4 linked regions of the Anolis sagrei genome follow. The protein of the gene in region 1 purifies or fractionates together with the protein of each later gene. This does not show direct contact. Links are inferred from orthologs where the notes say so. Each region holds a gene or a part of one and is shown in the gene's direction. Other genes may lie near its edges.

Region 1 (8,016 bases):
CATGATCATTTTTTTTATTTTAAAAAATTGAAAATGTGAACTGACACACGCACACATTTTGCTAATAGGGCTTGGAGCACACTTAGCAATAATACAGCGTTTCCCAACTGGGGGGTCGTGGGGGGGGGGGTCAGAGGGGTCTCCAAAGACCATCAGAAAACACAGTATTTTCTGTTGGTCATGGAGGTTCTGTGTAGGAAGTTTGGCCCAATTCTATTATTGGTGGGGTTCAGAATGCTTTTTGATTGTAGATGAACTATAAATCCCAGCAACTACAATTCGAAAATGTCTAGGTCTATTTTTCCCAAATGCCATCAGTGTTCACGTTTGGGCATATTGAGTATCCATGCCAAGTTTAGTTCAGATCTATCATTGTTTGAGTCCACAGTGCTCTCTGGATGTAGGTGAACTATAACTCCAAAACTCAAGAATAATGCCCACCAAACTCTTCCAGTATTTTCTGTTGGTCATGGAAGTTCTGTGTGCCAAGTTTGTTCAATTCCATCATTGGTGGAGTTCAGAATGCTCTTTGATTGTAGGTTAACTATAAATCCCAGCAACTACAACTCCCAAATGACAAAATCAATCTTCCCCCACCCCAATCTTCAAATTTAGGCATATCAAGTATCTGTGCCAAATTTGGTCCAGTGAATGAAAATACATCCTGCCTATCGGATATTTACAATACAATTCATAACAGCAGCAAAAATACAGCTATGCAGTAGCAACAAAAATACTTTTATGGTTGGGGATCACCATAACATGAGTAACTGCATTCAGTGGTCATGGCATTAGGAAAGTTGAGAAACGCTGCAATAATATATCACTTCACAAACTAGGCATCACTACAGAAATACAATAAGAATATAATTCAATCATAGTTTTGCTATCAAACCTGGAGAAACATGAGTAATATGCCATCAACACGCCTATTCAGATATCCTTGATACTAATGAAATAACATGTTAATTAAAAATGTTTTCAGTTGTTTTTGTAAACCCAAAATATTAGGTTAATGTTGAGCATGAATATGATTTCCTAGTTTTTTTCAAACCCTAAAATATTTGACCTACTCTAGTGGAAATAGTAATTAGAAACAGCCAGCAGGAATTACTTCTAAGAAAACGCAGCACATATTACTGATTGTTTATATGAAAGTGGAAAGTTGGAGATATCTATAAACCTCAGTCAATCTTTACGATGGCTGCATTTCAATCCAAACTGTCACTTGAGATGCAAAATTTGGTCAGTTGTGTTATGATAGCAGAAATATTCTGTTTTTATCCAGGCATGCTAAGCAAGCATCCTTGGTATTTTACTGTGTCCCAATGCCAAACCTTGTGTTGTGTTTTCCAGAAAAGAATGAAAGCGGTTGGCTGCAGAAATATCCAGTTTCTTGATCATCAACAGACATTAGCAATAGTAGACATGGTGATTAAGGTTACTGTTTCTATGCTTAATATACCCTTTATGGCACACAGTAAACTACTTAAGTGTCTGGAATAGATAGTGAAGTTCTTCTTTGATGACTGTTCAACAGAAAAACAGGGAAACAGGGAAGAGAATTCGCCTTTTCAAGGCTCTTCAGTGATATTCCAAATGAAAAGAGCAGGAAGGGCTGCTTTTTTCTCTACCAATCCATGTAGAAGTGTCTGTTGGGGGCAGGAATACAAAAATAACAAGCTAGTATATTTGTCATACCAAGTAAATGATAAATAATGTACTTTGGAATAACTCTTTAGGCTACGTGAACATCGACAACCACCTTCAAGACAACACATATAGAGAGAACAGGGAAGAAATAAAAGCTCCAAAACTGGTCATTAATAATAATAATAATAAAGACAGAGAACAGGACTGATTGCTGATGGGTCCAGACTAGAAGCTGGATACAAAACAGATTTCAGTTTCCTCCCAAAGACAAAACCATGCAACGAAGAAACAGACACTTCTTGCAACAAAGAAACAAAGGCTCCCACCAGTCAAACTCTAAATGCAAGCAGTTATTAAAATCCCACACCAACAAAAAGCAAGTTAGTAGAGCTCTGCTTTCCTTCTATATGTCTGATTAAGGGTGCATCTCTACAGTGCAGCATGAATGCAACTTGACATCACTTTAAATGTTGTGACTCAATGCTGTGGAATCCTAGGAGTTGTAGTTTAGTGAAGCACCTGAACTTTTTGGCAAAGAAAGCCAAAGACTTGGGGTGCATCTCTACACTGTAGAAATATTATTATTATTATTATTATTATTATTATCTGCTTTTATCTCTTGATTGAGACCCAATGCAGTTCTACACCACTTGAACAGCCATGACTTAATGCTATGGAATCCTGAGAATTGTCACTATGCAATTATTATTGAAACACAACAAGATAAGTCCACAACAAACAAGAACACTCTGCTGGTTGTTGTATTGGATCACAAGTCAGACACTTCCCAAGTGTCTAGGGCTGTGTGATGTATTGGCGAATAATGCATGCAGATCCCAGTAAGGTGGCCTTTTGCAGCTGACAGATGGTGATTTTGTCAGCACCGATTGTGTTTAAGTGCAGGCCAAGGTCTTTAGGCACTGCACCCAGTTTGCCGATCACCACTGGGACCACCTTGACTGGCTTGTGCCAGAGGCTTTGCAGTTGTATTATTAATAATAATATTATGTTTATTATTATTATTATGTTTATTATTAGTATGTTTGTTTATACTCTGCTTTTTCTCTCCATAAAAAGCCTTTTGCCTCCCCTGACAAAGAATGTTGTCTCACCAAATTACAACTCTCACGATGCCATAGAATGGAGCCATGGTAGTTCAAGTGGTGTCAAACTGCAATAATTCTACAGTGTAGAGGCACCCTGGATTTACTGAGGCATAGGAAAAGAGAGCAGTGATTCCTGATAGCCAAGAAGGCAAATGGAAAGGGTGCAGCAACACCAATGTGCTTTGTGAGGCCTAATTTCCCCTGAAGTGTGGATGTGCCCTGTAGAATGAACACTGTTTGACAACATCTTGAATTGCCAAAGCTCAAGGCTACGGAATTATAGACCATGTAGTTTGGTGAGGCACCATCGCTTTTGGGCAGAGAAGGCTGGAGTTTGTAAAATTTCAGCTCCCAGAATTTCTTAGCATTGAGCAAGGAAGGTTTGAAGTGGTGTCACATTGCATTCATTCTATAAATGCACTAGGAAACACTACCGGCATTAATTCTGGGTTGTTATGAGCACAGAGTTTGCATGGGATCCTAAACTTCCAGAAGAAAGCTTCCCAAATTTTGTGAGGCTTGGGACAAGAGGACTGAGACTCAAAATGGAAATGGAGGTGAAGGAAACAGGTGAAGCAACACTTTAGGCCCCTTCTAGTACATCTTGATATATATTAGGCATGGGTAAACTTTCTAAATTAGGGTCTGCATGGCGAGCCAGAGCGGGATTGGGGGGCAGGAAGGAGGGGGTTCTCTCTAAGTCCCCTTGCTGCCCTTTCCTCTTCTCTTTCAGAGGCAGAAAGTGATGGAAATACAGGAAATGTTTGGATCCCAAAAGGGTTGGCCTTGATCAGGATGAGAGGGTGAACAGGAGAGAAAAAGTCTATCCATTAGACACTGTATAGAATCCTGATATAGAATCCTAAAGCTGGAAGAGATCCCCCAAGGACCATACAGTCCAACCCCCTGCCATGCAAAAAGGCACAATCAAAGCATTCTTGAGAGATAGCCTCTGCGGAAAAGCCCCCAGAGAAGGAGACTCCACCACACTTGTAGGCAGACTATGCCACTCTGCAAGAGCTCTCACACTCAGGAAGTTCTTCCTCATCTTTTCAGTAGAATCTCTTTCCCTACCATTTGAATTCATTGCTCCCTTGGTGCCCTGGTCTTTAGAGCAGCAGAAAGTGAGTCTCCCCCCCCCCCTTCCTCCTCAATGAGGCACCCTTTGAAATCTTGAAACATGGCTTCATGTTTCCTCTCTAACATCTCTTCTCCCAGCTAAACATCCCCAAAGAAGGAAGGAAAAAGAGAGGAAGGAAAGATGGATGGATGGAAGGAAAGATGGGTGGAAGGGGAGGGAAGGAAGGTGGAAAGAGAGAAGGAAGGAAGGAAAGAAGGAAGGAGAGATGGGGAAGGAGGGAGGAAAGAGGGAAGGAAGGCTGAAAGGGTGGAAGGGACAGAAGGAGGGAGGGAGAAAGAGGGAGGAAAAGGGAAGGGAAGGAGTCAAGAAAGAGAGAAGGAAGGAAAGATGTATGGAAAGAAGGGAGGTGGAAGGGAAGGAAGGGTGGGAGGAAAGAGAGAAGGAAGGAAGGAGAGAGGGCGAAGGAGGGCGGGAGGGAAGGAAGGATGAAAGGGTGGAAAGGAAAGAAAGAGGGAGGAAACGGGAAGGGAAGGAGGCAGGAAAGAGAGAAGGAAGGAAGGAAAGAGGAAAGAAGGAAGGTGGAAGGGAAGGGAGGAAGGGTAAGAGGAAAGAAGGAAGGGAAGACAAAAGGGAGGGAAGGAAAGAAGGAAGGAGAGAGGGCGAAGGAGGGAGGGAAGGAAGCATGAAAGGGTGGAAGGGAAAGAAGGAGGTAGGGAGAGGGGGGGGGAGGAGGCAGGATCATGAGGGGGGAGGGCTGTGAAAAGAGCCCAAAGGTCTGCCGCATCCGGCCCCCATGCCTGGGTTTTCCCATGCTTCCCTTAGTGCCTTGTGAGGCCTAACTCTCCCTAAAGAGTGGACAAAGGAGAAGTGATGCAGTTTGGCACCACTTTTCAATGGCAGGGGATTGTGGAAGTTGTTGTTGTGGAAGTTCTCTGCCCAAAGAGGCGGGTGCCTCCCCAAGCTACGAATCCCAGGCTCCCTCAGCCTTGAGCCAAAGCGGTATGGGGCTGAAGTCGTGGAGTTGGCGGCCAAAGCCGGCTTCCTGGAGGCGCAGCAGAGCTTGCCCTGGAGGCGCCTCCCTTCCAAGACGGCGGCGAGAGGGGAAGCCCCGCTCCTCCTCCTCCTCCTCCTCCTCGACGAGGCAGCGCTCCGCCCCGAGCCTGACGGCAGCAGCCAGGAATGCGTTTCCGGAGGCGGCCAGAGAAGCGAGCTGGGCCTGGCCCTCCTCTCCCCGGCCCTGAAGAGGCGGCCTGGCTCCGGAGGACAGAGGAGGAAGGCAGGGAGGAAGGCGCTTCTGCTGGCCCTTCCCAGCCTTGAGGCGCAGAGTTGGGCCTCCCTTGGAGAGGAAGGAGAAGAGAGGAGAAGGAGGAGAGGCTTCAGGGAAGAGCCACCGCCGCCATGGCCCAAGTAAGAGGACTCTGCTTCCTTGAGGTGCAACTACATGTGGCCTGGACAAACTTGGGCCCTCCAGGTGTTTTGGACTTCAACTCCCACCATTCCTAACAGTCTACTACAGCTCCCAGAAGCCCCCAGCCTGCGAATGCAGGCTGGGGGCTTCTGGGAGCTGTAGTAGGCTGTTAGGAATGGTGGGAGTTGAAGTCCAAAACACCTGGAGGGCCCAAGTTTGCCCAAGCCTGCTCTCTATGGATTAACGCAACTTCTAATGGCCTTCTTGTCTTTGTAGCTTCTGGGAGGAAAGGAGGGAGGCCAAGGCGTGGCAGAGGCATTGCTGGACTCGTGTTGGGAGGCCATCCCAGCCCTTCCCTTCCCTTCCCTCGCCTTCCCTCCTTCCCACCTGCTTGAAACAACCGGGACATTTTATCCCACCTCCCTTTGAGGCAACAGTGTTGCGGCAAAGTTCGGATTTGTGGGCGAACTGATTCATTGTGGCTCTACTTTCCTTCCATAGGAACCCAGGCTGCAAAGGCTTCTGCCACCTCTAAATCACAGAGTTGGGAGAGACCACAAGGGCCATCCAGTCCAAGCCCATTCTGACACGCAGGAAGGCACAATCAAAGCACTCCCGACAGATAGCCATCCAGTTTCAGTCTCCAGAGAAGGAGACGCCACCAAACCCCGAGGTTGGGTATTCTATTCAACAGTCAGGGAGTTTTTCCTATTGTTTAAATGGGATTTCTTTTCCTGCAATTTGAATCCATTGCTCCCTGGCTAAGGCCCCTTCTATATAGCCCTATACCCCAGAATATCATGGCAGAAAATCCCACAATATCTGCTTTGAACTGGGTTATCAGAGTCCACACTCAGAAAATGTGGGATTTCCTGCCTTGATATTTTGGGATATAGGGTTGTGTGGAAGGGCCCCCAGAACATTAAGGCAGAAAATCCCACAGTATCTGCTTTGAACTGGGTAATCAGAGTCCACACTCAGAAAATGTGACATTTCCTGCCTTGATATTCTGGGATACCTATATCCCTATAGCCCTAGCTGTGTGGAAGGGCCCCAAGAACATTAAGGCAGAAAATCCCACAATATCTGCTTTCAACTGGGTTATCTGCATCCACACTCAGATAATGTGGGATTTCCTCTCTTGATATTCTGAGTTATAGGACTGTGTGGAAGGCCCCTAGGGCCCCTTCCACTTAGCTGTATAAAATCCCACATTATCTGCTTTGAATTAAGGGCCCTTCCACACAGCCTTATATCCCAGATATCATTGCAAAAAATCCCATATTATCTGAGTGTGGACTCAGATAGCCCAGTTCAAAGCAGATATCGTGGGATTTTCCGCCTTGATATTATGGAATATAGGGCTGTGTGGAAAGACCCTAGGTTATATGGCGGTGTGGACTTAGGACCCTATCAGACAGGCCCTATATCCCAGGATCTGATCCCCAGTGGCGTAGTGGGTTAAACCAGTGGTTCTCAAGCTGTGGGTCCCCAGGTGTTTTGGCCTACAACTCCCAGAAATCCCAGCCAGTTTACCAGCTGTTAGGATTTCTGGGAGTTGAAGACCAAAGTATCTGAGGGCCCTTCCACACAGCCCTATATCCCAGAATATCAAGGCAGAAAATCCCACATTATCTGAGTGTGGACTCAAATAACCCAGTAGAAAGCAGATATTTTGGGATTTTCTGCCTTGATATTCTAGGATATAGGGCTGTGTGGAAGGACCCTGGGGACTCATAGGTTGAAACCCATTGGGGTAAACCCTTGTGCCTACAGAACTGCTGACCATAAAAGTCAGCAGTTTGAATCTGGAAAGCAGGGTGAGCTCCTGTCTGTTAGCTCCAGCTTCTCATGCAGGCCCATGAGAGAAGCCTCCCACAGGAACGCAAAACATCTGGGCATCCTTTGGGCAAGATCCTTGCAAACGGTCAATTGTCTCACCCCAGAAGCAACTTGCAGTTTCTCAAGTTGCACATGACACAGAAAAAAAATTCCAGGTTTTCTGTTTATCCCAGATTATTTTGCAGTGGAGACTCCTATAATCCAGTTTAATGCGGAAAACCTGGCATCAGATCCTGGGATATAGAGCCTGAGTGGGGGCCCTTCCACACAGCCATATAATCCAGAATATAAAGGCAGAAAATCCCACAATATCTGCTTTGAACTGCCATATATCCCAGTTCAAAGCAGATAATGTGGAATTTTATTCAGCCGTGTGGAAGAGGCCTGGAAGGACTGTCAGATAATCCAGTTGAAAGCAAATATTGTGAATTATCTGCCTTGACATTCTGGGCTATATGGCTCTGTGGAAGCGCCCCTAGTATCCAGGGCAGTGGTCTTCATTGGAACATCCTTTCAAATATGTAAATATAGCTCTCATGTCCCCTCTCCATCTCCTTTTCTCCAAGCTAAACATATCCATCTCCCTCCCTCAATGCTCCTCTTATTAGTGCTTGGCTTCCAACCCTTTGTCTGTTTTGGTATCAGTGATGTTAGCATAATGTGCCTTTGAAAGGGAAAAGAGGAGGGAAAGGGCAGGATGTAATTGGAGAAGTTTTGGGGTGCGTCTGTACTGTAAAATGAATGCAGTTTGACACCACTTGAACTGCCATGGCTCAAGGCAATGGAATAGTGGAAGGTGTTTGACAACGTCTTTAGCTTTCTCTGCCAAAGAGGGCTGGTGCCTCACTAAACTACAAGGCCCATGATTCCTTGTCCTTGAGCCAGGGCAGTTAAAGTGCTGTCAAGCTGCATTACTTCTACAGTGT
Region 2 (7,569 bases), on another chromosome or scaffold:
AGGACATGGAATCTAGCAGCGTCTTTTAATTCATCTCTTTCAGCGTAAGCTCTTGTGATATCAACCTACTTCTTCAGCTGTAGAGATGGTTAAAACCACTGTTAAAATAACAATTACTTTTTTGTTTGTGGCATTTCAGTTCATTCACTTAACTAACTCCAGTTGCCTCATATGTTGGCAATGTGTATAAATACCCTAAAGGCACCAGATCCCATGTGATCGTGGAAGGGTTTGCTCTGGTTAGTACATAGCAGGGAAGTTGCCAATGTATATCATGTGCTGGGGGCTATATTTCAGAAGAAAGAAATAACAAACAACCTCTGGGTATTCCTTGCCTGAGAAAACCTTATGAAATGCATGCATTCATTTCATCATAAACCAACTGGTAACCCAAAGGCACATTCACATAACAGCAAGCCCCAGACTCTGGATTTGTATTATGCCTTCCTGGAACAGATGATTACGCCTTCAAAAAGGAGGGATATATCTAGTAATAATGAAAGATTCGAACTATCCTGATATTTTTGGATAACAGCTCCAACTAATCTCTCACCTGCTTTGCTAACAATTATATTATACAGAAGGTGGAAGAGGCAAGAAGGGGATCCTAACTAACAGTGAAGATGAGACTAATGGGATGGAAGTGCTAGGTTGCTTAGGCGGGACTGACCATGATCTCCTGGAGTCTGTTATCCAGTTCAAAGGGGAAATCCAAGCATAGTGAAACATTCATTTTAGACTTTTAAGAAAGCTGATTTCAGTAATCACTGGTAATAATCTTAGAGGATTCTTGGAGAGAAGGGGAAAAAGGAGGGCACAATAAATTACAGTCCAATCAGCCTGACATCAGTTCCAGGGAAGATTTTGGAAAAGAGCAATAGAATCAGGAAAACTAAAGGGAAAGAGATTCTATGTACATATCAGGAGACCACAGTAAGAGCTGTAAAACTTCTCTGGGGGTTTTAAGCATAAGCTAGGTGGCCATCTATCAGGAGTGCTTTGGGTCTATTATTGCATGGCAGAATGGGGTTGGACTAGATGACCTTGGGCTCTCTTCCAACTCTAGGGGCCCTTCCACACAGCCCTATATCCCAGAATATCGACAGAAAATCCCACAATATCTGCTTTGAACTGGGTTATCTGAGTCACACTCAGATAATGTGTGATTTTCTGCCTTGATATTCTGGGATAGAGTGCTGTGTGGCAGGGCCCTGAGTCTACACTGCCATATATCCAAGTTCAAAGCAAATAATGTGGGATTTTCTGCCTTGACATTCTGGATTATATGGCTGTGTGGAAGGGCCCTAGGAGTCTCTGAACATACCAGTGGAGGTTTCCATGTATCTGGTGGAGTTAATTGTAGTCCAAGAAAGCCCTCAGCTTTGTTTAGAGTCTCAGGCTCATCAGTCTGGGGAATAATGGCAGCTGCCTTTCAAACATAACTTCCATTTTTCTAATTGAGACTGCTTTCAGTGCAACAAATGAAAGCGCCTGCAAACTTGGGCTACTTCTGTTTAGTGAAACATTTATTTTGCTTGCAGCCACAAGCCCTCCTTTTTGGCTCAGGATATGGAATTGCCTCTTTGATATATTTTTTCTCACTTGGATCCACTTTTCTAATTCAAATTTAGCTGTTCAAGTGTTCCAAAACTCTGGAAGCATAACACTATATAATAAAATTTGAAACATTTCTGTTCCCGGTTTGAAAGTGTTCCTTCCTGTTTAATTGTATGGTCCTTACTTTGAAAGCAGTTGTCATATTATAGAAACTGTTTATGTGGCGGCGACAAACTATGTTGAATTGTTTGAGACTCTAGGACAGTGGTTCCCAATTTGTGGTCCGTGGACCACCAGTGGTCCACAATAATGCAAATATGGTCTGCAGCCTCACCATTACTACACTGTTGCCTCAAAACCACACAGCAACGAGAGCAACTGGTTTTGCGAAACCCTCTTATAGTGACGAGGCAACAATGATGTCGGGAGGGGAGAGACTGATTACCTACAAAAGATTACTACTACTACCACATCAGCACTACATTATTAAATATGGTTTTGTATAGGCAAGCAGATGGTGACTACTGGATAGCATATGTCCTGTAGCAGAAACTAGAGCTGATGTGGTCTATTCAATGCAATTTTCTGAAGCAGCACCTCAAATAACCAAACCAAATCTTTGTTGTTTATTTGTTCAGTTGCTTCCAACTCTTCGTGACCTCATGGACAAGCCCACGCCAGAGCTCCCTGTTGGACGTGGCCACCCCCCAGCTCCTTCAAGGTCAAGCCAATCCCTTCAAGGCCTATAGTGTGTTGATCTTAAGAACATTGGATTCGTCGTTCACCTCCAGCACCGTTGGCTGCTAGCCTTCCTTTTGGCTTTGAGTTAGCTGCGTCATCACATCTGGGGCTAGTTGAACTTAATCCTCTGCTCCTCCCCATCTTCCAACCTGGGAGTCCCATCTTTTGATGGCATACCGACATATCTCTAGTTGTACTGATCCATTTAGTTTTCATGGCAACAGTACTGGGGTGGGTTGCCATTACCTTCCCCAGGGATCGCATTTAGTCTGACCTCTCTGCCACGACCTTCCCGTCTTGGGTGTCCCTTTACAGTTTCGCTCGTGGCATCATTGAGGTGCTCAAGCCCCAGCACCACAACAAGACAATGCTTCTCTGCTGGAGCAAATTTAAATCTAAAGTTGACCAAAAACAATGTATTGTTGAAGACCAAAAACTAATTTGTAACCCTTTTGGTATTAATGTTGGGGAGTGGTCCTCTAAATGCACTTTACTATGGATCTAGGAGTGTCTGCACGCCCCATCCCTCTCTAAAAACTCTATCTAGCTCCTATTTCATCTTTTCATGCTCAGCATTATTTTTAAATTTTAATTATTACATTTGGCCCAGCCATAGGTTTTTAAACGTCCCTGTGTGGCTGTTAATGTTTATTGCTTATTTTTAATGAGTTTTTATTTTATTGTTTTGTATTGTTGTTTGTTATTGCTTTTATTATTGATGTATTGTGGGCTTGGCCTTATGTAAGCCGCACCGAGTCCCTTGGGAGATGGTAACGGAGTATAAATAAAGTTTCATATTTATTATTATTATTATTATTATTATTATTATTATTATTATTATTACTGGTCCCTGTTCAAGTGGCCCCTGGTCAAAAAATGATTGGGAACCAGTGCTGTAGGAGATGTTTTGCCCCCATACTGTACTTCCCCCTGCCTGTTTGAAGGCCTGTCTCCACTACTCCATTTCCAATGAGCTTCTCCCTCGCAAACATTTTTGTTCCATTTCTAACTAATCCTGAGTTATTATCATTTTATCTTGTACATGTGGCCCGCTTATTGTGATTTATCTCTCACTATATTTTTGCACTGTACTATTGTATTCTTATGTTTTATGTATTGCGATGTTTATTCTGTGCTTTTGGTTGTATTCTGTAGTAATGCACTACTGGGTTTGACCTCATGTAAGCTGCCCTGAGTCCCCTTTGGGGAGATGGTAGCGGGGTATAAATAAAATTCATCATCATCATCTTTTTTTTTTTATTAAATTTTCTGGATTTTCTCTTTATACAGTGAAAGAGTGGGAACAATGAAATGGATAGAAAGGGTGGGAAAATCGTCGTATGATGTGAGAGGGAGGTGAGATGGGGAAGGGGAGAGGGAGGAAGGTAATTGGGCGGTGAGGGAGGTGAGATGGGGAAGGGGAGAGGGAGGAAGGTAATTGGGCCCCCATCATCTTGAGCCCCCGGTGTCAGCGCAGTGGGTTAAACCCCTGTGCCGTCAGGACTGAAGACCAACAGGTCGCAGGTTCGAATCCAGGAAGAGGCGGATGAGCTCCCTCTGTCAGCTCCAGCTCCCCATGCGGGGACATGAGAGAAGCCTCCCACAAGGATGATAAAAACATCAAATCACCCAGGCATCCCCTGGGCAATGTCCTTGCAGACAGCCAATTCTCTCACACCAGAAGCGACTTGCAGTTTCTCAAGTCGCTCCTGACATGACCAAAAAAATCATCATCATTATTATTAATTGAAAACTATATCAAAATGTGTTGCAAGATGTCACGGCAAAAATAAAGTTTTGGCAGTTTAATCAACTTTTCCCATGTTTATTATAGCATTGAACCCATTAGGAAATGACATTTAAAATCGTGCCTCATTGTGTAATACACTGCAGAATAAAGGCTGCCTGAGCCCGCTTCAAGTCACAAAGGCTGAAGGCTGTGGGATCCTGAGATTTGTAGTTTGGGGAGGTCCCAGCGCTCTTTGGAAGAGAAAGGTTAAAGACCTTGTGGAAATGCCACTCCCATTATTCCATAGCATTGAGCCATGACCATTAGACTCTAAGTGTCTGGATGGGGTGCTCTTCTTGCCTTTGACCCCCATGCTCCCCCTCCTTTTCCCTCCTTTTCCTGTTGAGTCAGCCCCCTCCCCTCCTTCCCTCCAGGTCACGTGAGGAGCAGCGGAGGGGGAGCTCCGTCTCGCGGGGAGGGGGCGGTGACTCGGGAGGGGGGCGTGGCTTCAGGGGAGCGCGAGGAGGGGGCCGGCTATAAGAAGGCGAGGCGCTGGGGCTGGGCTCAGTCCTGCCCCTTTGGATCCTGCGGTGCTCTTGTTATTGGGTTGCTTTCCAGGAGCAGGAAGTGGCAAGGTAAAAAATAATAGTAAAAGAGGGAGGGGGTCCTTTTTTAACGCGGGAATCTAGATTTCTACAGAAAGGAGAAAGAAGAAATTGTTATTTAGACTCTTATGTCGCTTCCTTGGATTTGGCGCCTTCCCTGGAAGTTTGTCCAGCTGGACGGCCATCTGTCGGGAGTGTTTGGATGGTGGCAGAATTGGGTCGGGCTGGATGGCCCTTGGGGTTCCCTCCCAACTCCAGAATCCTTGGAGTGAGGCCGGAGTTCTATGTTGGGGCTTTCCCAGCCTTGATAGTGCTGGGGAAAGGGGAGAGAAGAGAGAAACTACAAGAAAGGAGATTACATCTGAACATGAGGAAGAACTTCCTGACTGTGAGAGTTGTTCAGCAGTGGAACTCTCTGCCCCGGAGTGTGGTAGAGGCTCCTCCTTTGGAAGCTTTTAACAGAGGCTGGATGGCCATCTGTCGGGGGTGCTCTGTATGTGATTTTCCTGCTTCTTGGAAAGGAGTTGGACTGGATGGCCCATGAGGTCTCTTCCAATTCTGTGATTCTAAAGTGGGTTCTCTTGTGCCACGTTGTTAAACAGAGGTGGGATGGCCATCTGTCGGGGGTGCTTTGAATGCAATTTTCCTGCTTCTTGGCAGGGGGTTGGACTGGATGGCCCAGGAGGTCTCTTCCAACTCTTAAGATTCTGTGATTCTAAAGTGGGTTCTCTTGTGCCATGTTGTTAAACAGAGGCAGGACGGCCATCTGCTGGGGATGCTTTGATTGTGCTTTCCCTTCGGAGTTGGACTAGATGGCCCTTATGGTCTCTTCCAACTTTCAAGAACTCTGGCTGCATCTACACCAGACATGGGCCAACTTGGGTCCTCCCTCCAGGTGCTTTGGACTTCAATTCCCACAATCCCTAACAGCCTCAGGCCCTTTCCTTTCCCCCCTCAGCCGCTTAGGACCCAAGTTGGCCCATGTCTGATCTACACTGTAGAATTGATGCACTTTGATAATAATGGTAATAATAATATTTATACCCCCCTTTATTTATATGCCACTTTCATGCTATTTGAACCCTGGGAGTTACACTTTGGTGAGTTATACTTTGGCAGAGAAGACGGAAAAAAACCCTTGTCAAACTCCTGTGATTGCGTAGCAGTGATATCAAAGTGTGTTAATTCTACAGTGTGGCCACCCCTGACTGTTTGCGTGGGAGTAGGGAAACTGGAAAATTCCGCCTTGGTGGAGAGAGTGTGTCCCTTGTATCTGAATCTCCCCCAACTTCCTCCTGGCAATCTCTTTCTGATACATATGTATCCTGAAAGGATTTACATGAAACCCAGCCCTTGAGGAAACCGGGCCCAGGTTTACTGGAATCCCTACTCTTCCTCTCCTCCCGCTTTCTGCCTCAGGCTGTCTCCTCCAAGTTTCCTGTTTTTCCTTTTCCCAGCCTCCATGATAGGCTTCAAAACGCCCATCTTCTTTTCCCAGCTTCCCTTTCCTTCCTCCTTCGGCGAGGCTTGAACTCTTAACGCCACTTCTGTTCTGTTTTTTCCCTCCTCACAGGGACGAATAAGGCAAAATGGGCGTCGAAGGCGGCATGAAGTGTGTGAAGTTCCTGGTCTTCTTCTTCAATTTCATATTCTGGGTAAGTCAGTGGAAGTAGGGGAGGAGGGAGAGGTTATGGGGCTTGTTTTGTCCTCCTTTCCTCCCTCCGCCATCAAAAGCTCTGGGCTGGGTTTGCTTGGCCTCTTCAGCAGCCAAGGCGCTTTGTTCCACTTTGGGCAATTAACCTTTAAAGGCTGAATTAACTCCGAGTTGTTGCTCCGTTTCCTTGATGGCTTTCCTTCTTTTCTCTATAAGTGCTAGTAGTAAGTTCCCATCACAAGAGCTGTGCATCCTTAGCTGTGTTATAATCCTTTGGGACTCCTACATACGTACATAATAAATGTGCTTCTCATCGTACTTTAAATCTCTTAAGTACCATCATTTATCTGCTGGAGAATTCTAGGCATCCAGCTTTGGAGATGCATATGTCTTTGTACTAAAAGTGATGCCAAAATACTTTGCATACTTGATTTTTAAAAAAGGTAATAATTTCCCCCTGTTCTGCTATGATGTGGGATGAGTTTACCTTTGAATCAAAAACAACTCGATGATTATCAAATTTCTCCCTTTAGGGTTCAGCACAAAGACAACAATGAACTTCATTTGCCTTTCGAGGATGTTTTGTATGTGTCTTCAGGTCACTTGTCAACTGGTGACCCCATGAATTTTGTGAGGTTTTTTTTAGGCAGGGAATACTCAATGGCAGTTTGGCCAGTTCCTTCCTCTGAGGGCCCTTCCATACAGACCCTATATCCCAGGATCTGATCCCAGTTTTTCTGTTTATCCCAGATTATCTGGCAGTGTGGACTCATATAATCCAGTTTAAAGCAGAAAACTTGGTATCAGATCCTGGGATATAGGGCCTATCTGGAAGGACCCTGAGGCTGGATCTACACTGTCCTGTATCCCAGGATCTGCTCCCAAATTATCTGGCAGTATAAACTCATATAATCCAGTTTAAAGCAGAAAATCTAGGATCAGATCCTGGGATATAGAACCTGTCTAGAAGGGCCTTTGAGGCTAGATCTACACTGCCCTAAATCCCAGGATCTGATCCCAGATTATCTGTTTTGAACTGGATTATATGAGTCTACACTGCCAGATAATCTGGGATCAGATCCTGGGATATAGGGCCTGTGGAAGGGCCTTGAGGCTGGATCTACACTGCCCTATATCCCAGGAGCCCCCGGTGGCACAGTGGGTTAAACCCCTGTGCTGGCAGGACTGAAGGCTGACCGGTCACAGGTTCGAATCTGGGGAGAGCGCGGATGAGCTCCCTCTATCAGCTCCAGCTCCTCGTGGGGACATGAAAGAAGCCTCCC
Region 3 (7,308 bases), about 40 Mb from region 1:
GATTATTATTTGGAAAAAAATGAATGAATTCCTATGCACGGTGCACATATTTTATTTGTAGTGCAAAAAACACTTTAGAACAATACAATAATTAAAATGAAGAACAATTTAAACAAATATAAACTTATTAGTATTTCATTGGGAAGAGTGGGCCTGCTTTTGGCTGATGAGATAGGATTGTTGTTGTTGTGTGCTTTCAAGTCATTTCAGACTTAGGTTGACCCTGAGTGAGGGCAGGGTAAATGACCTTGGAGGGCCGTATTCGGCCCCTGGGCCGTAGTTTGAGGACCCCTGCTCTAGTACATTCAGTTGGTCATGGGGGTTCTGTGTGCCAAGTTAGGTCTGGTCCATCATAGGTCCAGGTCCATAATCGGTGAGGTGCTGAGTGCTCTTCGATTGCAGTTGAACTATAAATCCCAGTACCTACAACTAACGAATGTCAATGCCAATTCTTCCCTACATTTTGGCATATCAGGTATGCAGATCCATCGTTGTTTGCATTCACAGTGCTCTCTGGATGTGAGTGAACTATAATTCTTATAAATCAAGATTAATTTTCCCCAAAGCCCTCCTGTATTTTTGGTTGATCATGAGGGTTCTGTGTGCCAAGTGAGGTCCAGGACCGTCATTGGTGGGGTCCAGGTGCTCTTTGATTGCAGGTGAACCATTAATCCCAGTAACTACAATGGCTACAAATCAAGGTGAATTCCCCCAAAACTTTTGCAGTATCTTTGTTTGGTCATGGGGGTTCTGTGTACCAAATGTGGTCCAGGTCTATTGTCAGTGGGGGTCACAGTGCTCTGACTTGATGTAGGGTGAACTACAACTTCTGTCATGTGGAGTCATACTCCCAGACCCCTCTAGTATGTTTAGTTGCTGATTAGTCTGCTCTGTTGTTATGCAGGCAGAATTGGAAAGAGTAGGAAAGGGTCAGCGGAGAGGCAGTGGACGGGATCATACAAATTGTGTACTCTCTACACCAATGTAGAGAGTAAGAAACACTGGGATGTCTGTGGTGCAGGAAACACATAAAATCTAGGATAAAATTGTCACTGAATGGAAGCATTCCTTGGGTGGTGTGGAGTATGGTGTTGGGGAGGACATTGGAAGGGGTTGGGCTACATGTTCATGGTGCTCGCTATGATCTGAAATGTCATTGAAGAGAGGGCTTTTGGTGGCTCCTCAGCATTGTGGGTTAAATCTGTTTGTGGAAGTGGGCATCCCAGCCACAAACAGACATACACATTTTCACTTTTATTATGGATATAGATAGATACAAATATATAAATAGATTGTTGGTTTCTGAAACTTATTGAGAACTTTTTATATCTTTTTATATCCTTCCATATCCATGAATTCTGCATCCAGAAATTCAACCACCCACAGCTTGAAAATATTTTTTAAACATCTAAAAAGCACGCCTTGATTTTTTCATTTTATATACAGGAAATTATTTTATAACACCATTGCATAAAATGGGACTAGAGTACCCATGGCTTTTGATATCATAGAGGGTCCTGGAACCAAACACAAGTAAATATCACAGGCCTACTTGTCATCAATGGCTGTGAAATCTCAGAAGCCATACAGAGCAATGAACAGCAGTTGGAGAAAATTCCTGGATGTAAATAACTTTTTGTTCTATCTCACGATGGGTACTATTTTGATTTTTAATTTAAAATAATGCCGCAGAGTCTGTAAAATCTGTGTGAACTCTATTGAAGACACTTGACTGAACAAATTATTAAGTTTTTGCATTTAAGTAGTTGCAGGCTTAGTTTACAATGCGTGAAAAAATGTCAGACATGGAATTGGACAACTTAAATCTGGGATTTAAGAACTTAGAGCTCAAGGTTGAGGAAGTGCAGTGCAAGACTGTAAAAGAGGATGATTTTCACGAATAATAGCTAAAGTTTCTTGGCCTATGACTCATGTTGATCTTTTTGATTGTTATTACAGTTTGGGGCTCATGCAGGTACATGACTGATGTCAATAAGCTCAAGTGGAAAACAAGGAACAGCACTTAAAGGTTTATGAGTTCAGGATAAATGAGTTCATTTCCCTGGAGAAAGAAGCTTATTTCACCAGGTTTGGGGCATCGAAACAATGGAATCCACTAATGATTGTATGAGGAAAGTACTATGCTGAGGTCCATGACTGAAAAACGACTTCAAAACCAATAGGAATTTTATTATCTGAGAAACAGTCATTTTCTAAAACCAATTGGAGTTCTTCCAGCTCCAACTTAATCTATAGTCCTGCTTCTTAAATACCATACGTGTTAATTATACCAAAGTTCAAGAGTTGTGTAGTCAACTTGAGCTGGGAAAGCTGCGTTCAGACCCAAGAAATGAATCTCACCCGATCTGGCTGAGTGTCAACCCTGGGATATCTGAGCCCTTACTTACTTAGTTAGGCAATCCTTCGTTGTCCGAGTAGGATAGTCTTACAAGATCAGTGTACTGGCAGTAGGTCCGTAGGTCACTGTGGAGCCCTATTCTTGATCTGCATCTTCTCACGCAGTGAGGGCATTAGTTTCCAGGTGGAAGGTGGCCCTGGTCGGGGTTGGCTTGATGGGCCTTCCTCTTGGCACATTTCTCTTTCGCCCTCCATTCGTGCCTCTTCAAATTCTGCAGCACTGCCGGTCACAGCTGACCTCCAGCTGGAGCGCTCAAGGGCCAGGGCTTCCCAGATCGCAGTGTCTATGCCAGAGTTTTTAAGTTTGGCTTTGAGCTAATCTTTGTTATAGTTCACCTATAATCAAAGAGCATTCTGGACTCCACCAATGATGGAATTGAACCAAACTTGACACACAGTTCTCCCATGACGAACAGAAAATACTGGAAGGGTTTGGTGGGCAGTGTCCTTTGGTTTTGGAGTTGTAGTTCACCTACTTCCTGAGAGCACTGTGGACTCAAATAATGATGGATCTGGACAAAACTCCACACAAATACTCTATATGCCCAAATGTGAACTCTGGTGGAGTTTAGGGAAAATAGAATCTTGACATTTGGGAGTTGTAATTCACCTACAATCACAGAGCATTCTGAACCCCACCGACGATAGAATTGGGCCAAACCTCCCATACAGAACCCCCATGTGGGCCACAGCAACGCATGGCAGGGGACGCCTAGTAAGTTTATATTTGTTAAAATTGTTCTTCATTTTAATTATTGTATTGTTTTGAAGTATTTTTTGCACTACAAATAAGATATGTGCAGTGTGCATAGGAATTCATTCATTTTTTTTTCACATTATAATCCGGCCTTCCAGCAGTTTGAGGGACTGTGACCTGGCGCTCTGTTTAAATCAGGGGTCCTCAAACTACGGCCCTCCAAGGTCATTTACCCGGCCCTCGCTCAGGGTCAACCTAAGTCTGAAACTACTTGAAATTCCATCTGAGGAGATTCCATCTGAACATGAGGAAGAACTTCCTGACTGTGAGAGCCGTTCAGCAGTGGAACTCTCTGCCCCGGAGTGTGGTGGAAGCTCCTTCTTTGGAAGCTTTTAAACAGAGGCTGGATGGCCATCTGTCAGGGGTGATTTGAATGCAATATTCCTGCTTCTTGGCAGGGGGTTGGACTGGATGGCCCATGACGTCTCTTCCAACTCTTTGATTCTATGATTCTATGAAACACACAATAACAACAACAACAATCCTATCTCATCAGCCAAAAGGAGCCCCCAGTGGCACAGTGGGTTAAAGCACTGTACCGGCAGGACTGAAGACCGACAGGTCGCAGGTTCGAATCCGGGGAGAGGCGGATGAGCTCCCTCTATTAGCTCCAGCTCCTCATGCGGGGACATGAGAGAACCCTGGACAACGTCTTTGCAGATGGCCAATTCTCTCACAATAGAAGCGGTTGCTCCTGACACGACCAAAAAAAAAAAAAGTAGGCCCACACTTCCCACTGAAATACTAGTCAGTTTACACTTGTTAAAATTGTACTGCATTTTAATTATTGTACTGTTTTTAAGTGCCGTTTCCACTACAAATAAAATATATGCAGCGTGCATAGGAATTCATTCATGCTTTTTTCAAATTATAATCCGGCCCTCCAACAGTTTGAGGGACTGTGACCTGGCCCTCTGTTTAAAAAGTTTGGTTTAAATGGTTTAAGGACCCCTGGTCTAAACCAAACCCAAACCAGCTCTGATCCAATTCCAGCCCTGGCCTGCAGTTCGCCTCTGGTCCAGAGAGAATCTAAGAGCGGCCGGTAGAGGGCGCTGCGGGGCCGGCTTTGGCTGCGAGGCCAGGCTGGGTGGTGGGAGGGGAGCGGAAAGTCTCAGCGGGGCAGAGCCAGGAGAGTCCCAAAGTGAGCCCGGCTGCGTGCTCTGGCGCTTCTCATAGCGGCGGCAGGGGTCTCTCTGCGGCATCGGACTCTACCCGGGAAGCCTGCCCTACAGTTGCGTCTCTCGCGGGCGGAGGCGTGCTTTGGGGGGCTTCTTCCGCATCTGAACTGAGACCGGGACCCCGGAGGAGGGAAGAGGACTGAAGAGGAGGGACGTGGGGAGCCCCCTTTGCGCCGGGGAGCATGATGGCGGGGCGGCTCCGGCGGGGCTTGAAGGGGCTGCTCTGGCTGTTCTCCGTGGCGTCCGTCTCCTCCTACAACATCGACCTGGAGCGCCCCGTGATCTTCCAGGGACCCAACAACTCTTTCTTCGGCTACTCCGTGCTGGAGCATTACTACGATAGCACGAGATGGTGAGTCGCAGCGTCGCCCTCCCTTTCCTTCCTTGGACCCCAGAAGGAGGCATTGAGCCTGCTTCCCAAGGCCGGGCTTCCCGGTGGGAGTGAGAGGGAGCGCCCTCATCTTCTGGCCCTCGCTTCCAGCTTCCCTCCTGCTTCCTTCTCCATCCCAACTTCAAGGGTTTTCTTGCATGCTGTGCTACACTTAGCCAATAGACATGTAATGGCTCAGATCACAGTCCAAGGGATCTTGGAGTCATGTGTTGCTGAAAGCTTCCATGGCCACAATCACTGCGTTGCTGTGAGTTTTCTGGCCATGTTCCAGAAGCATTCTCTCCTGACGTTTCGCTCACATCTATGGCAGACAACCTCAGAGGTTGTGAGGCCTCTGAGGCAAGTGAGGTTTATATATCTGTGGAAAGCCCTGGGTGGGAGAAAGAACTCTCCTCTGCTTGAATGTTGCAATTGGCCACTTTGATTAGCATCAAATGGCCTTGCAGCTTCAAAGCCCGGCTGATTGCTGCCAGGGGAACACCTTTGTTGGAAGGTGTTAGCTGGCCCTGATTTATTGATTAAATGTACTGTAATGTTTCTTTTTCTGGGTTGTTGTAGGTTTTTTTTGGCTATATGGCCATATATATATATGGCTATATATATCTATATATATATATAAATACTCTGTGCATAATGAGTACCTTAAAAACAAAAGAAACAATGAACGAAATCACACCAAATTTGGCAACAAAACGTCTCACAACACAAGGAGTGACCATCACTCAAAAATTATTATTTTCTCATTTGGGAGTTGTAGTTGCTGGGATTTATAGTTCACCTATAATCAAAGAGCATTCTGAACTCCGTCGACAATGGAATTGTACCAAACTTGGCACACAGAACTCCCATGACCAACAGAAAATACTGGAAGGGTTTGGTGGGCATTGACCTTGAGTTTGGGAGTTGTAGTTCACCTACATCTAGAGATCACTGTGGACTCAAACAGTGATGGATCTGGACTAAACTTGGCACAAGCACTCAATACGCCTAAATATGAGCACAGATGGAGTTTGGGGAAAATAGACCTTGACATTTGCGAGTTATACTTGCTGGGATTTATAGTTCACCTACAATCACAGAGCATTCTGAACCCCACCAATGATAGAATTGGGCCAAACCTCCTACACAGAACCCCCATGTGGCCACAGCAACGCGTGGCAGGGGACAGCTAGTGTGTATATATATATATGTATATGTATATGTATATGTATATGGCTATATAGCCTGAAAAAACCTACAACCTAGTCATTCCGGCCATGAAATCCTTCGACAGTACATTTCTTTTTCTGCTTTTTATCAATGTATGTATTTTATATATGGCATCGAATTGTGCAACTCTGTACGCCGCACTGAGTCGCCTTTGGGCTGATAGGAGCAGGATAGAAATAGCGTAAATAAATCTATATAAATAAAAAGGTAATGTTCGTTTGTGGGACTAACAGAACTCAAAAACCACTGGACAGATTGACACCAAATTTGGACATAAGACACCTAACAACCCAATGTATGTCCTTCACTCAAAAAAATTGATTTTGTCATTTGGGAGTTGTAGTTGCTGGGATTTATAATTCACCTACAATCAAAGAGCATTTTGAACTCCAGCAGTGATGGAATTGAACCAAATTTGGTACACAGTTCTCCCATGACCAACAGAAAATACTGGAAGGGTTTGGTGGGCAGTGTTCTTTGGTTTTGGAGTTGTAGTTCACCTACATCCCGAGAGCACTGTGGACTCAAACAATGATGGATCTGGACCAAACTTGGCACAAATAATCCATATGCCCAAATGTGAACACTGGTGGAGTTTGGGGAAATAGAATCTTGACATTTGGGAGTTGTGGTTGCTGGGATTTGTAGTTCACCTACAATCACAGAGCATTCTAAACCCCACCAACCATAGAATTGGGCCAAACCTCCCACACAGAACCCCCATGACCACCAGAGTAGGCCACAGCAACACATGGCAGGGGATGGCTAGTAAATCTATATAAATAAAAATGTAATGTTCGTGGGATTAACATAACTCAAAAACCACTGGGCGAATTGACACCAAATTTGGACACATGACACCTATCAGGCCAATGAGTGACCATCACTCATAAAAACACTGAAAAACACACTGACAAAAACAACTCCAACCCCAAAAGGCTGTTAGGAAGGCTGTTAGGAATTGTGGGAGTTGGAATCCAAAACCCCTGGAGGGCTCAAGTCTGCCCCTACCTGGTCTACACCATGGAATTATTCCACAGCATTGAGCCATGGTAGTTAAAGGGGCCCTGTAGGCCATCCAGCCCAACCACTTTTTGCAGACACCATCAAAGTCCTCCCAATAGATGGCCATCCAGTTGGAAAGGAGCCCCAAAGGCCATCCAATCTGACCTCATTGGGCGGTAAAGGAAGGCTTCCATGGCTGCAATCACTAGGTTGCTGTGAGTTTTCTGGGATGTCTGGCCATATTCCAGAAGCATTCTCTCCTGATATTTCCCCCACATCTATGGCAGGCATCCTCAGAGGTTGTGAGGTCTGTTGGAAACTAGACAAGGGAGGTTTATATATCTGTGGAA
Region 4 (7,108 bases), on another chromosome or scaffold:
CAGACCCACAATTTTCTTATGTCTACACTTAAGAGATATCTAAAATAACATACTGCTAAGTTCTGATATTTATAAGAGTATACATTATGTATATTTTTCTTTACTTTGTACAAATAGATATGTTTTTAAATGATGCCAGATTTTTTTTAAAATGTAGGAGACAACACTTTTTATTTTTTGGCATAATTAAAACAATACCCATTTGTGTAGGGGACACCTGGATTTCTGGCAGAAGTATCATAACTAGGGTGTTACAATTGATAAAGCATTATATGTTAAGCTGGTGGGCAATATGACTGTGTGGCACTCTCGGCACAGCTTTCTCAGCTGATCTGAAAGATGGTGTTAGTAGGGACTTGGCACAGCAGCTGTTTGGATAATTTAAATTATTCCCACCATATATTTTTCTTTTTGTTAGTGCCTGTTTTTACCTTTTGGCCTGAAATCTCACAAAAAGATATACCTGGGAGTGCAATAAAACTTAGTCTAATTATGCTACACTCTGTGAACTCCTTCCCTGTCCACATCTAGTGCTTAAGAAGAGTGAAGAGAGAAGGGGCCGGAAGACAGTTCCACCTTGTCTCCTATGCTATGTCATCAGTTGGGAGCCCCGCTCCCTCCCTCCGCATCCACTACTGCTCTGGGTCAGGGTGAAGAGAGAGGGGGCCAGAAGACAGTTCCACCTTGTCTCCTGTACTATGCTAATAATATAATATAATATAATGTAATATAATATATTGTATATACATATAATAGTTTTAACAATATAATATAATGCAATATAATACTAATAACAGTAATATGTTATTATAATTATATATTTTATATTACATGCAATACTAATAATATTACAATATAATGGTATAGTACAATATAGTAAATATAATACTGATATTTTACTACACTAATAATATAATATATTGTATGTATATATATCTATATCTTGTAAGCCACTCTGAGTCCCCTTCGGTATGAGAAGGGCAGCATATAAATGTCATAAATACATAAATAAATAAGATTAAGAAGCTTCATCTCTCACTAATCTGCATTCATGGTGTAAGTTCTTTGCACCCAAGAAAAATTAATACTCCAGCTGAATGTTGGGCAGCATTCTGTATGGTTTTAAAAGTAACTGAATTAGACTTCTGTTCACACATGAATTTGCTGTACTATTTTAACCAGTATTAAAACATGGGGGGGGGGGGGGGGTCCACAAACACCCGGAAATGGAGTACTAAACCAGAACATCAGGTTAGACAATAGGTGTGGTGTTTACTGAATCAACTCCTCACGTAATTATCACTATATAGTCACTCTTAATTGCAAAATAAATATTTTTAAAAAATGTTGGAGCTTTGCACAGTATTGTATTGAGTAACAGACCCATGACTTTGTGAATAGTGCCATCTGGTGAAAAAGTGAAGAATTTAAATAGGAAATTAAATATTGTGGTTGGAATTAAGAACCAAACTACAAAGTAGAAACAGAACCTTGGCTTAATCTAGTGGTAGCAATTGGCTGTCCCTCCATGATGTTGGAAATTCAATTCCCAAAAGCCTTGCTAATCTTGAGAAGTTTTGGGAGTTGCAGTTGGACAAAAAACCTACAACAACCCAGTGATTCCGGTCACGAAATTCTGGCTTTTAAAGCCCTTTGACAATAGGGCTTTAAAGATCACAACCAACACTTTTTGTTTTGCCTGGAAACTAATTGGCAGCTAATGCGTTGACTCTGTGATAGGTGTAATATGCTAACTCCCGAATGTTCCTGTAGCCAATCTGTCTGCTGTGCTTTTGAACTTGGTACAAAGGTAGCCCAGTGTAAAGGGCACTGTAGAAGTTCATCCTTGAGGTTACCAGCGCATGCACTACCATCTTTAGGTCATCCAAATCTAGGCAGGGGCACAGATGGTGTATCAGCGAAAGCTGGTAGTAGGCTATACACTTATTGCCATAGTTTTACAAAGCTTATATCAAGATTAGCACATACATATTTCAGTTAACAAAGCTCTTTTTTTTTTATTTTTTACAAAACATGTATTCCCCTGAGCAACCTTTTTCTTCTTGTCGTCTTTCTACCTGGATGTTTTAAAACAGCATTGGGATTGGAATGATGGTGAGAAAGATGTAATTTTACTTAATGCGAACATATTGCCAGATCTGATATTTTGAATGCAGTTTGGTGAAAATGAATTCTTTTGTGAAGGGCAATTGCCTTTTCTAGAGGCTTCAATTAGAGAGGTCTTTTCTGCTGGACAGAATAAGGGTAGTCGGAGGAAAAACGGCCTTGGGACACACTTTGCTTCAAGAAAATAAATGTTATTAGACAAAGGTATTCATGGACTATAAAGCCAAGCAAATAACACCCGGCCCTTGTAAAGAAAAAAAGTTTTAAAGACTGAATCAGGAATGCTGAGAAATGTTTTATATATTTTAATCTGCTTTAACTATTTATTGTAAATATTTTCCACGTTTAATCCAATTTTAGTGTTTATATTTATATATGCTGCTTTGTAAACCTGGTGGTGTGGTGGGTTAAACTGCTGGGCTGCTGAACTTGCTGACCGAATCTGGGGAGCGGGGTGAGCTCCTGCTGTTAGTCTCAGCTTCTGCCAACCTGGCAGTTTGAAAATATGCAAATGTGAGTAGATCAATAGGTAGGTAGGTAATGGTGCTCCATGCAGTTGTGCTGGCTGCATGACCTTGAAGGTGTCTATGGACAACACCAGCTCTTTGGCTTAGATAAACCCCACCCCTGAGTTGGCCACAACTAGACTTAATGTCAGGAGAAACCTCTAGCTTTATATACTACCATGTTTTGGGGTATGATACAGTGGTGTGTTCTGATATATGTGTTTTATGCTGTGAGCCTTGAGGCAGTTAACAAATATTTTTATTCTTATTGCGATGATCATATATTTTAGGTGTTTAGGTGTTCAATTGTGTACTATTTAGTATTGTTCTCTGCTTAGGAGTTAATTTCAAGAGATAATAATAATAATAATAATAATAATAATAAACCTTTATACCCCGCTAACATCTCCCGAAGGACTCGGTGCAGCTTACAAGAGGCCGAGGCCCAATACATAAGTAAAACAGCATAACAAATACAACAATAAACAAAGCAATAAACATTAAAACAATAGCAATAAACATTAGATAATAACACCATGACACATTTAAAAACTAAGGCCGGGCCAAATGTAATGATTAAAAATTTTAAAAATGCTGGACATGACCAGGTGAAATGGATAGATTTTTGGAGATAGGTGCGGTATGCAGACAATCTTAAATCTCTAATAAAGTGCATTTGGGATATGATGCTTGGAGTTTCCTATTCTGGGAATGCACACTGGAACAACCACATCTTTTAAGCTATTCCTAAAGACTGCCAACGTTGGGGCTTGTCTGATGTCCTTGGGGAGAGAGTTCCAGAGTCGGGGGGCCACCACAGAGAAGGCCCTGTCCCTCGTCCCCACCAATCTCGCTTATATATGTCTGCACTTGATGCCAATGCATTCTCTTCATTACTATATTCTGCTCTGAATGTCTCAGGGCCCTTCCAGAAAGGCCCTATATTCGAGGATCTGATTCCCAGGTGTTCTGCTTTAAACGGGATTATAAGAATTGCTACTGCCAGATAATCTGAACCTGGGATCAGGCCCTGGGACATAGGGCCTGTCTGGAAGGGCCCTCTGCAGCAGACACCCACAAGGCCCCTGCCAGCCCACTCCTTCTTACTACGGTCCACAGGAGGTACGCTCTCCTGTCACTTTAAGAACGGAGAGGCTCCCTCGTCCTTCAAGCTCCGCCTACTCCGGCTCGCCCGCCAACCCACGGGCGCTTCCGTCGGAGCCGCTCAGCCAATGGCAGCGCTCCACGAAGGGCAGCGCCGTAGGGACGGGGCTTAAGGCGAGAGCGGCGGAGAGTGATGGCGTGGTCTAACCAATCAGAGCGGAGGGGCGGGAAGACTCCCTTTGCCTGAATCAATGAGAGTAGGAAGTCTCGGGGCGTGGGAGGCGGAGCTAGCGGCTGAGAGAGAGAGCGAGAGAGAGAGGAGAGAGTGTGAGGCAGGCAGGCAGGCAACGGACCAACGCGCGCGGGCGGAGGCACGTGACGGCAGGAGGTGCGAGGGGGTTTCTCGGAGGAGCCTCGGCGGGCGAGCTGTGCGCGTGGAGCGAGGTGAGTGAGAGAGTATCTCCCGCGAGGAGGCCCTCCCTTCGTTTCTGCCTGGGATAGAATGTTGCGGCGGGGGATGAGGGGGGGGGGTGGAGGGAGAGAAGGAGAGCGGCCCTCTTCCTCTCGCGCAGGGAACTCTGGGGCACGCACTGGAGGCGGCAAGAGCGGGAGGCGAAGTGTCCCACGGAGGGTGTGTCCGTTGGGGGCTGTGGGTACTGAGTGGGCTGGAATGAGGGAGAGAGAAAGAAGGGGGAGGGGGAGAAGCGCCGGGTCCCTCCGCAGGCCAAACTTCTAGGGCCTTCTAGAGCGGGCCTCTTGGGGGAAGGTGTCGTTGCGGGCCTGTGCGTGGCTTATCTCTTCGCCTCTCGGGTGGGACCTTGAGGGACCTCCCCTCGCCTTTTTACGGGGGGAGGGGATGGGGTGGGCGAGTGTTTCATTTTGTGGAGGGGCTGCTCATAGCGGGGAGGGGGCCTCCTGTGTATCTGCACTGGGGAGGAGAGCCAGGAAGACACTTCCACCGTGTCTCCTGGGCCATCAGTTGGGAGCTCCTCTCTCCAGCACCAATTGCTGCTCTGGGTTCAGAGTGAAGAAAGGGAACCAGGAAGACAGTTCCACCATGTCTCTTGGGTCATCAGTTTGGCAGCCCCTCTCCAGCACCAATTACTGCTCTGGGTCCAGATTGAACAAGGGGAGCAGGGAAGACAGTTCCAACGTGTCTCTTGGGTCATCAGTTGGGAACCCTGGGTCCAGAGTGAAGAAGGGGAGCAGGGAAGACAGTTCCAACATCTCTCCTGGGTCATCGGAGCCCATCCCCCCAGCACCAATTGCTGCTCTGGGTCCAGAGTGAAGAAGGGGAGCCAGGAAGACAGTTCCAACATGTCTCCTGGGTCATCAGAGCCCTTCCCCCCAGCAACTATAGTAATATATAATACTAATATTGTGCTGTGCTCATAAATTTTTTTTGTCGTGTCAGGAGCGACCTGAGAAACTGCAAGTCGCTTCTGGTGTGAGAGAATTGGCCGTCTGCAAGGACGTTGCCCAGGGGATGCCCAGATGATTTGATGTTTTATCATCCTGGTGGGAGGCTTCTCTCATGTCCCCGCATGAGGAGCTGGAGCTGATAGAGGGAGCTCATCCGCCTCTCCCCGGATTCGAACCTGCAACCTGTCAGTCTTCAGTCCTGCCGGCACAGGGGTTTAACCCACTATTAATGATATAATAATTATGTTACATGTAATATTAATAATAATAAAGTATAGTGATATAGTACAATATAGTAATATATCATACTAATATTGTAATATGCTAATAATATAATATATTGTAGACTCTCACCCAGCCTATTCAACTTGTATGCAGAACACATCATGCTATGTGCGGGGCTTGATGAATGCAAGGCTGGGGTAAAAATTGCTGGAAGAAACATTAACAACCTTAGATATGCAGATGATACCACTTTGATGGTTGAAAGCGAGGAGGAGCCGAGGAGCCTTCTAATCAAGGTGAAAGAAGAAAGCACAAAACCTGGATTGCAGTTAAACATCTAAAAAACCAAGATTATGGCAACCGGATTGATTGATAACTGGCAAACAGAGGGAGAAAACGTGGAGGCCGTGACAGACTTTGTATTTCTAGGTGCAAAATTTTCTGCAGACACAGACTGCAGCCAGCAAACCAGAAGACGCTTACTTCTTGGGAGGAGAGCAATGTCCAATCTTGATAAAATACTGAAGAGTAGAGACATCACACTGGCAACAAAGATCCGCATAGTCAAAGCAGTGATATTCCCCATTGTCACCTACGGATGTGAGAGTTGGATCATAGGGAAGGCTGAGCGAAGGAAGATAGATGCTTTTGAACTGTGGTGTTGAGGGAAAGTTCTGAGAGTGCCTTGGACTGCGAGAAGATCCAACCAGTCCATACTTCAGGAAATAAAACCCGACTGCTCATTGGAGGGAAGGATAGTAGAGGCAAAGATGAAGTACTTTGGCCACATCATGAGAAGAAAGGAAAGCTTAGAGAAGACAATAATGCTGGGGAAAAATGGAAGGAAAAAGGAAGAGGGGCTGACCAAGGGCAAGATGAATGGATGGTATCCTTGAAGGGACTGGCTTGACTCTGAAGGAGTTGGGGGAAGTGACGGCCAACAGGGAGCTCTGGCGTGGGATGGTCCATGAGGTCACGAAGAGTCGGAAGCAACTGAACGAATGAACAACAACAATGTACATATAACTTGTAAGCCACTCTGAGTCCTCTTTGGGGTGAGACGGGTGGGATATAAATATCGCAAATAAATAAGTACACTGCAGGATTGGTGCAGATGCCATAGCTTGACGCTGGCGCCCCTTGGACTCTGTCAGCTCAAGGCTATGGAATCGCGGGACTTGTGGTTTTACGAGACCTCCTCTGCCCAAGAATGCTGGTGCCTCACCACATTACAACTCCCAGGATCCCACAGCATTGAAACTGCAAACTCTGACATTCTGTGTATTGTGGGATGTGTGCATGTGTTACTCAAGCTGTGTCTCCCCTGTGGAATGAATGCAGTTTGACACCCCATTCACTGCCATGGGAATCCTGGGTGACATAGTTTGGGGAAGCAGCCAGCCTTTTTTTTGGCAGAGAAGGTTCAAGACCTTGTAAAGCTTAGTAGGAGAAGATAAAAGTTTTCCCTTGACATGAAGTCTATTTGTGTCTGGTGCTGGGGTATGGTGCTCATCTCAATTTCTAAGAAAAAGAGACAGCGTTGTCCGTAGACTCCTGCCAGGTCATGACTGCATGGGGCGCCATTACCTTCCCGTAGAAGCGATACCAATTGACCTCACATTTACATGCTTTTGAATTGCTAGGTTGGGAGAAGCTTGGGCTAACAGTGGGAGCTCACCCCGCTCCCTAGATTCGAGCCATCAACTTTTTGGTAGGCAAGGTCA

What was found. The genes of interacting proteins can lie anywhere in the genome.
Region 2: the proteins of ITGB1 (region 1) and CD63 purify together in Homo sapiens (affinity purification with western blotting; 3 studies listed by BioGRID and IntAct, with this or other methods). This does not show direct contact. The link is inferred for Anolis sagrei from reciprocal best matches to the Homo sapiens genes ITGB1 and CD63.
Region 3: the proteins of ITGB1 (region 1) and ITGA9 purify together in Homo sapiens (affinity purification with mass spectrometry; 3 studies listed by BioGRID and IntAct, counting the BioPlex papers as one, with this or other methods). This does not show direct contact. The link is inferred for Anolis sagrei from reciprocal best matches to the Homo sapiens genes ITGB1 and ITGA9.
Region 4: the proteins of ITGB1 (region 1) and CANX purify together in Homo sapiens (affinity purification with mass spectrometry; 3 studies listed by BioGRID and IntAct, with this or other methods). This does not show direct contact. The link is inferred for Anolis sagrei from reciprocal best matches to the Homo sapiens genes ITGB1 and CANX.

What each region holds. Positions count from the first base shown.
Region 1 is NC_090026.1:112,675,161-112,683,176, reverse strand, and holds the start of ITGB1 (integrin beta-1), read left to right. Parts: upstream 1-5,002; 5' UTR 5,003-5,238; coding exon 5,239-5,247; intron 5,248-8,016.
Region 2 is NC_090022.1:145,170,990-145,178,558, forward strand, and holds the start of CD63 (CD63 antigen), read left to right. Parts: upstream 1-4,557; 5' UTR 4,558-4,662; intron 4,663-6,205; 5' UTR 6,206-6,221; coding exon 6,222-6,287; intron 6,288-7,569. UniProt on the Homo sapiens protein: Functions as a cell surface receptor for TIMP1 and plays a role in the activation of cellular signaling cascades. Plays a role in the activation of ITGB1 and integrin signaling, leading to the activation of AKT, FAK/PTK2 and MAP kinases.
Region 3 is NC_090026.1:73,095,808-73,103,115, reverse strand, and holds the start of ITGA9 (integrin alpha-9), read left to right. Parts: upstream 1-4,296; 5' UTR 4,297-4,535; coding exon 4,536-4,705; intron 4,706-7,308. UniProt on the Homo sapiens protein: Integrin alpha-9/beta-1 (ITGA9:ITGB1) is a receptor for VCAM1, cytotactin and osteopontin. It recognizes the sequence A-E-I-D-G-I-E-L in cytotactin. ITGA9:ITGB1 may play a crucial role in SVEP1/polydom-mediated myoblast cell adhesion.
Region 4 is NC_090022.1:86,866,371-86,873,478, reverse strand, and holds the start of CANX (calnexin), read left to right. Parts: upstream 1-4,096; 5' UTR 4,097-4,181; intron 4,182-4,344; exon of another isoform or gene 4,345-4,368; intron 4,369-7,108. UniProt on the Homo sapiens protein: Calcium-binding protein that interacts with newly synthesized monoglucosylated glycoproteins in the endoplasmic reticulum. It may act in assisting protein assembly and/or in the retention within the ER of unassembled protein subunits.